Linked DNA regions of Oryctolagus cuniculus. Each later gene encodes a partner of the first gene's protein in a complex. Links are inferred from orthologs where the notes say so. Each region holds a gene or a part of one and is shown on either strand. Other genes may lie near its edges.

The links. Proteins that work in one complex are often made in the same cells at the same time.
Region 2: the proteins of ITGB1 (region 1) and FERMT2 are in contact, whole or in part, in a crystal structure (PDB 8TEE), measured with the Mus musculus proteins. The link is inferred for Oryctolagus cuniculus from reciprocal best matches to the Homo sapiens genes ITGB1 and FERMT2. Residues at the interface, in NP_034708.1 of Mus musculus: Ala786, Val787, Thr788, Thr789, Val790, Val791, Asn792, Pro793, Tyr795, Glu796, Gly797; in NP_666166.2 of Mus musculus: Phe609, Ser610, Asn611, Met612, Lys613, Gln614, Trp615, Asn616, Val617, Asn618, Trp619, Glu620, Ala629, Asp630, His647, Ile654, Ser657, Thr658, Lys674, Leu675, Ser677, Gly678.

Annotation. Positions count from the first base shown.
Region 1 is NC_091444.1:108,918,883-108,922,382, forward strand, and holds part of ITGB1 (integrin beta-1), read left to right. Parts: intron 1-251; coding exon 252-474; intron 475-2,272; coding exon 2,273-2,443; intron 2,444-3,500.
Region 2 is NC_091443.1:23,418,985-23,423,284, forward strand, and holds the start of FERMT2 (fermitin family homolog 2), read left to right. Parts: upstream 1-1,500; 5' UTR 1,501-1,793; intron 1,794-2,170; 5' UTR 2,171-2,179; coding exon 2,180-2,336; intron 2,337-4,300. UniProt on the Homo sapiens protein: Scaffolding protein that enhances integrin activation mediated by TLN1 and/or TLN2, but activates integrins only weakly by itself. Binds to membranes enriched in phosphoinositides.

The DNA.
Region 1 (3,500 bases):
GTAGCTGTTGATCCCACTGAATATGTGATTTCACCAAGAAATTCGTCTTCGGAATCAAAGAGTGAGACATTTAAAATGAACACTTAGTAAGTCAGTCCTGGGAAAGGTATGAGTTTTTCAGGAATGATTTTGTTGTTAAACAAGAGTGCTTTCTATGATTTGGATGAAGGGAGCATTTTGTTTAAAAGGTAGAAATGAGCTATATTATATGCCCCTCTTTGTACTCTGACTTGTGTTTTAATGTCGTTTAGACGTTTTTGCAAGAAGGAATGCCTACTTCTGCACGATGTGATGACTTAGAAGCCTTGAAAAAGAAAGGCTGCCATCCAGACGACATAGAGAATCCCAGAGGTTCCAGAGACATAAAGAAAAATAAGAATGTCACCAACCGTAGCAAAGGCACAGCAGAGAAGCTGCAGCCGGAGGATATCACTCAGATCCAGCCCCAGCAGCTGGTTCTGCAGCTGCGATCAGGTGCGGGCCCAGCCATCTGCCCCTGAAGTGCCGTCCTCACAGGCAGGCCCCCAGTCCAGCTGACGCTGGCCAGCTTTACAGAGTTTTCTGAAAACACACAGCTTGTGAAATGCATATTCCTGGAGTAATGTTAAATGTTGCCATCGTCAGAAGTAAAATCTGCTAATGATTCGGCAAGTGTGAATTAGACTTAATGGGCTTTACAAGTATTGTCCATTTTCTGATTTGATTACATTATATAAAGGCAACCTTTTTTATTTATTTATTTATTTTTTAACTTTTATTTAGTAGATGTAAATTTCCAAAGTACAGTTTATGGATTACAATGGCTTTTCCCTCCCATAACTTCCCACCCACCCATAACCCTCCCATCTCCTGCTCCCTCTCCCGTTCCATTCACATCAAGATTCATTTTCGATTATCATAAAGGCAACATTGTAATGTTTCCTTTCTTGTGCAGTATTTTAAAATTATTCTTGGTCAGTGTCTGTGGCAGTGTGTGACCCACTCCTGTGCTGTGTCAGGAGGTGGTGGTGCTCGGTCCCCCTCACCCTGGCCCCTGCGCTCACACTGAGCCTGGTGCAGTCCACCTGCTGCTGAGTCCACTGTAGCACAGCCGCTGCACTGGGCTGACACCACAGCTCGTGCGCCTGCTGGTCTGTTCTGACCCTCCTGCACCCAGGATGGTGCTCCTGGCTTCTCTGAGCTTTCACTGTTGGTTTCTAGGCTTTTGTGTCTCTTCCTGTCCCCATCTCTGTGGTCCACTTTACAACTTGGCTTTCCTGTCATGATTTAAAAGCTGCAGCAACACAAACTTTTCTGTTGAGCTCCAAACAGTTCCTCTGACCTGTCTCCCAGAACTGTCTGTAGACAGGATTTTTAACCATGTTTCACCTGAACCTCTCATTCTCCTGTGTTTCGTGACTGAAGTATGCCGACAACTCTGTCTCCAGTTCTCTATCCTCACTGTTTCAATTCAGATCTTCATCACCTCCCCTTGAATTTTCCATCATTCCTTAACTGGTCTTTGACTCTATAATCCAATTGTAAAACTTTACCCAGATTTTCTAAAGCAGAAATCGTATTCTGTGATTTTCTTTCATGTGGTGGCTTCCTGTGACCAAGACCTGAGTTCCTTTAGAATGCCAGTCTCTAGAATGAGAGTCAGCCCTGTGACCTATCCAGCCCAAGACCGTTGAAAAATGGATGATTTAGACATAGATTACCTAGTGTAGGTTGGGCATGTTGCCTTTTTATTTTTTTAATTTTTTTTTTTTTATTTTTTGACAGGCAGAGTGGACAGTGAGAGAGAGAGACAGAGAGAAAGGTCTTCCTTTTCCGTTGGTTCACCCCCCTAATGGCCGCTACTGCCAGCACTGCGCCGATCCGAAGGCAGGAGCCAGGTGCTTCTCCTGGTCTCCCATGGGGTGCAGGGCCCAAGCACTTGGCCCATCCTCCACTGCCTTCCTGGGCCACAGCAGAGAGCTGGCCTGGAAGAGGGGCAACCGGGACAGAATCCGGTGCCCCGACCGGGACTAGAACCCGGTGTGCCGGCGCCGCAGGTGGAGGATTAGCCTATTGAGCCGTGGTGCTGGCCGGCATGTTGTCTTTTTCACCCCGAGGTCTGGAGTGTCAAGTATTGGTTGAATGAAATTGAGTATAGACCCAGTGAGTTTTGTTAAGTTTATGACAGTGCATTTCATCTTGCATTGTTGGCCCTGTAAATCAGATCCATTTGGTTTTCTCACTTGTTCTTGGTTCTTGGCTTGCTAACATCTTTTCTGACCCGTTTGGCTAGGGGAGCCCCAGACGTTCACGTTGAAGTTCAAGCGTGCTGAAGACTACCCCATCGACCTCTACTACCTCATGGACCTCTCCTACTCCATGAAAGATGATCTGGAGAACGTCAAGAGTCTCGGGACGGATCTGATGAATGAGATGAGGAGGGTGACTTCAGACTTCCGAATTGGTAGGAATGTTGGGAAAATTAGTAGTTTTCCTTCTTTGTTCTCCAGGCCAGTTTTTAGCTCTTCCCTTCTGAGAGGAAACATCATCTGTGTAACAGGCGCTCTGCCTCTGGGCTCCTGTATCCCTGTGTGCTCAGCACAGATGAAGAAGTCGTGCCTGTCCTCACAGTTCACCCACTCATGTCCACCCGCGGGTACGGCCTTGTCTCACTCAGACCCAGTTTGCCATGCTGTGATGTTCTGCTTTCCACCCTTCCTTTCCTGTCCTGTGCATCTCCAGGCTTGCCTGCTCGTCGCCGGCTGTCTCCTGCTCCTGCCGCACCCAAGGTGTTGCAGCAGAGTGCTGGAGAAACTGGACAGCCTCCTTGTGGCCAAAAAGCTGCCTTTTAAAAATTAACTCTGTTTTAGAAGAAACCTTGAAAAACTTAAAGTGCCATTGTATTCAGTAGGCACAGTTCAGGGACCATGGAAATAGTAAGTTCTTAAGCAAGGTAGTCTTTTTGAAGTGGTCAGAATTCCAGAACATTCATTTATTCATCCATCCATCCAACGTGGCACTGTGGAGAACTGAGGATACTAAGAAAGTCAGTGTTCATTATTTTTATTTTATTTTTCTAAAGATTTAATTTATTTGAAAGGCAGAGTTAGAGATAGATACATACATACATAGAGAGAGGTCTTCTATCCACTGGTTCACTCCCCAGATGGCTGCACCAGCCACAGCTGGGCCAGACCAAAACCAGGAGCTTCCTCTGGGTCTCCCACATGGGTGCAGGGACACAAGCACTTGGGCATCTTCCACTGCTTTCCCAGGTACATTAGCAGGGAGGCTGCACTGGAAGTAGAGCAGCTGAGACTCCAACTGGTGCCCATGTAGAATGCTGGCACTGTGGGCGCAGCTTAACCTATTTAGCCCCAGTGCTGGCACCAATGCTCATTATTTTTAAAGTGGGTAGGCAGAAGATGGATGTACAGCTCAGTCCTGCTGGGCAGCTGGAACCAGACAGCTCACAAACCACAGGAATGCATCACTCACATTTCAGGAGGCCAAGCAGTCCA
Region 2 (4,300 bases), on another chromosome or scaffold:
TTTGTAGCAAATAAATAGCAGTACCAAGTGGGCTCAGCTTCTGAACAGTTTTGCTGTATTTCCCTGCTGCCTTTTTCTTTTGAATATATTTGCTCTCGATTTTACAGTCGCATGTAGTTTTTTTTTTTTTAAACCCTCGCAAGGCATTTTCTATTTTATTAAAAACATTTTCCTGTTTATTTTCAACAGCACAATTCACATAAACACTCCCTCCTTATCGCTTCCAAAGGAAGGATCTGGAACATCCTTCAGTAGAAATAACCGGGGAGTGCAGGGGCAGAGCCTGCAGGCATGTCTCTCCATGACGACGACGCTGTAACCCCACAGTGGTTCCCTCTACTTTTTGGTGACAAACCTCTGGCATCCGACTCAGCATCGCTGCGTTCACTCCTTTTTGGGTTCCAGTCCTTTCTCAAGGCTCTCACCTCCTGGCCCAGAGGTGTCGATGAACCAAAGTGTGTTTTGTTTTTGTCTGGCGGGTTTCCCTTCGAAGTGTTTGGAAAGCCATGAGGCTTTGCAAACCGGGAGCCTTCGTAGCGGATCTTACCCGAGGCTTCCTGACCTATATATTTTGAGCCGTGCACTGGCCAGCGAAGCGGTTTCCCTGGTTCGCTGTTTGTGCACAGAGTTCCCTCGGGATCGAGGTCGGCACAGGGGGCAGGGGGAGGCAGGGAGGCCGGAGGCCGGCGTTGCACCTTCCGTGCAGTCTTCCCTGGCCCTGCAGGAGCCACCGCAGGGCCTTCGCGGTGCGGTGCAGGACCCATCTTCGTAACAGGCGGCTGGTTCTCAAGCTGTCCAGATTCGCACCGGAGACTGGACAGGCCGGGGACACGCTTTGGCACCAAGGGTTTTCCCTGCCCTCAGCCCGAGCGAGGGGGCCCGCCCGCCACTCGCCCCGGGCTGCAGCTTCCCAATGGGTTAAGGCCTCGTGCAAACTCCCGGGGTCCCGTGGGAGTCGCTGACCGTGCCGGTCACCCATGGCACAGCGACGTTTGTGGCTCGCCTCCCCCACCCCGGGTTTTCTCCTCCTGTCGCGGCATGTTCGTGGAGCCGGCTTGGGCGCTCACTTTTTAAAGTTTTTACATCCCCAACTCGGCCCGCCGGCTCCAGGGAAGCGGCGCCCCTCACCGCCCCGGGACTCTGGGGCGCGTTCCAGGCCTGGGGAGGAAGCGGCAGGACTTTGTTCCCCGAAATCTGACGGCTCTGGGGATTCCCTGCGGCCACTTCGCCGCGCCGAGCCCCATCCTCCGGGCGGCCGCCGGCTCCCTCACGCCGCGGCCTCCGGCTGGCGGAGGAGCGGCCCGGACTCCCCCTCCTCAGGTCCCGCCGCCGAGAGCCCGGATGTTGGATTCCATCCCTGCGCCTGGTCCTTCATTTCCATAAAAGGGCAGCGCTCGGCGGGGCTGAGGTTGCCACCGCCGCCGCCGGCGCCCCCCGCCGCCCCCCGCCGCCCCGCCCCCAGCCCGGAGTCCGCGGCCCCCGCCCGGAGCGCAGCCGCGGGGAGGGCTGTGGAGGGGCCGAGGTCGGCCCCAGGCGCTCCGGGCCGCTCTGCGGGGCGGAGGAGGAGGAGGAGGAGGAGGAGGGAGCCGGCGAGCCCAGCCCGGACCGGACGGGCTGAGGGGGCGGGGAGAGAGGGGTGGAGCGCGCGGAGCCAGGCTGGGGGCCGCGGCGCCGGGACTCCATTAGCGGCTCCGGCCAGGAGGCAGAGCTGAGCCGGCTGCGGAGCGGGACGCGGACGCCGCCCCCGCGCCTGTTGCGGGCGAGCCCCGGGCCGGGTGCGCGAGGAGCGCGCGGTGAGGGGCCTGGACGGGGCTGCAATCTGCTGGGGAGCGCGGGTGGGGACGAAGACTGTGGAGCCCCCGGGCAGCGTCTCCCCGGGCCGGGCGCGGCCGGGCGCGGCCGGGCGGCAGGCAGGGGACGCCGCTGCGCTCCGCTAGGCGGGGGCGGCGTGGGGCGGGCGGGGCCGCGGCCGCTCGGGGCCGGGGCGGGAGCGCGGAGCGCCCAGTGCGGCTCCGCGGTGCTCCCGAGTTTGCGCGGGAGCCCCCCACCCCACCCCCAACACCGGGTCCTCCGGCTTCCCCAGCCCGGCGGCCGACGCCGCGAGCACGGTGGGCTTTGCCTTCGTTTGGGGGAGTGACGCTTACGAGAGCCATTTCCTCCGCGCGCGCAGGAAGGAGCCATGGCTCTGGACGGGATAAGGATGCCAGATGGCTGCTACGCGGACGGGACGTGGGAGCTGAGTGTGCATGTGACGGACCTGAACCGCGATGTCACCCTGAGAGTGACCGGAGAGGTGCACATCGGAGGGGTGATGCTGAAGTTGGTGGAAAAGCTGGGTGAGTAGCATCCCGGAGGCGTCCGGGAAGCGACTGGCGGGGTGGGGGAGGGGTGGGAGGGAGGCGGCGCGGGGGGGAGGGGCGGGTGTGGAAATCTTGGCGTCTCTTGGATACTTAAAAAAAAAAAAAAGTGAGATCTGTCAATATTTAAGCGAACCGACGCGGTTCCCTTGGCGTTTTGTTTGGCTAGCTCTGAATTTTCGGAATGTGGTGCTTGGAGCCCCTACTTAGAGACTTCATTGCGTAGTTGGGCTGGGGGCGGGGAGCTCCTTGATTCTTTGCATTCGCCGGCTTCACGTGGAAAGAAATGGGCAGGGTCTGCAGGGTGGCGGTGCGGGGCGTGTGGTTACCCATGTCTGGCGTGTTGGCGACGCTTGGCATCGGGAGTAACGCGAAATCCACGTTAGAAAGCCGCCCCCCACCCGGGGAGATAGGCGGGTGCTGGCGTCGCTGGGCAGTGGCGGTGGCCCGGCCGGCCGTGCGCCCCTGCGAGGGGTGGGCAGCGGCCGAGCGACTTGGAGTCCCCACCCGGTGCTCCAGCGCGGCTATTCGGAGCATTCGGTTTTACATTAACGAGCCAGTGGGAGAACCGTGTTCAGAAGCAGACGGGAAGGCTGCTTGGGGGTTGACAGTGTTCGCCCGAGTCCAGTCCCTACCGGGTGGCCCAGGTTGAAGGCAGGGTCTCTGACAGCATGAAACTGGAGGAGGTTTCCCAGTGCACGTTCTGTCTGCCATGAAGGAAACCGTTTTCCGCGGTAGCTAAACAGCTGGTGTTCAGAAGAGACTTCCCCAGTTTTCCATATCATGCACTTGTGGTCAGGTCTTTGTAGGTTGGGTTTTTCACTTTGAGGGTGTGTGTTTTTGTGTTTTTGGCTTTTTTTTTTTTTTCTAAACCACACTGCCAAAGTGGAGAAGCATTGATTAGGAAATGTGTTTCTTACCAAGGGAGCCTTGCGTCCCTACCATATAAACTTACTGCAGTAGCTCTCTGGGGCGCTGTGCCCAATACGGCAGGGTTCACAGGAGCACCCGCCTTGTGGCTTTGCAGAAGTTTCCTTATGCACAGACCCGAGAGAAGCACCTCACAAGGTTGCCTCTGTGCTGTTTACCTGCCTGAGACAGGGCCAGGACCTTCCCCCACCCCCAGCCCTTTGGCAGCTAGATTTTGCTGTATTGTTTGTTTAACCAGTCCGCTCTCTGTGGGTTAACAGTGTTTTTTGTATGATTTGAGTAAATCGATGACTCTTTGCAAAGTGTCCATGGATCAGTTCAGCACTGGTATGAGGGCTGAAATATCACCAAATATAATTGTCCGTGTGTCCTCTGTTTTCAAGGGAAAGAGCGTTTGTGTCAGAGCTTGCCTTGTTTGTGATAAGTGGACCTCACTAATAACGTGGGTTTCAATAGGCGGTTTCTTTCACGTTGCGTGGAAGGAGCTGTTGAAGGTGACTGAGGCAACCTGTAGTTCTCCAGAGCCAGGCTTTTTTTTTTTTTTTTTAATTTATTTTATTTATTTGAAAGGCAGAGTTACAGAGAGAGGGAGAGACAGACAGAGAGGTCTCCCATCCACTGGTTCACTCCCCAAATGGCTGCAACTGCCAGAGCTGGGCCAGGCCAGAGCCAGGAGCTTCATCCGGGTCCCTCATGTGGGTGCCAGGAGCTTCCTGGGTCTCCCATGTACGTGCAGGGGCCCAAGCACTTGGGCCATCTTCCACTGCTTTCCCAGGCACATTAGCAGGGAGCTGTATCGGAAGTAGAGCAGCCAGCACTTGAACTGCTTCCATAAGGGATGCTGGTTCTTCAGGCAGTGGCTTAACTTGCTGTGCTACAATGCAGGCCCAAAAGTCAGGCTTTAACTAATGAATAAATAATGGTCTTACTATATATGTATTGCATTGATTAGAATCGTCTATTACAGTCAGTCATAAATAGAACTATAGAGAATAAACTATTTGCCATCAGAA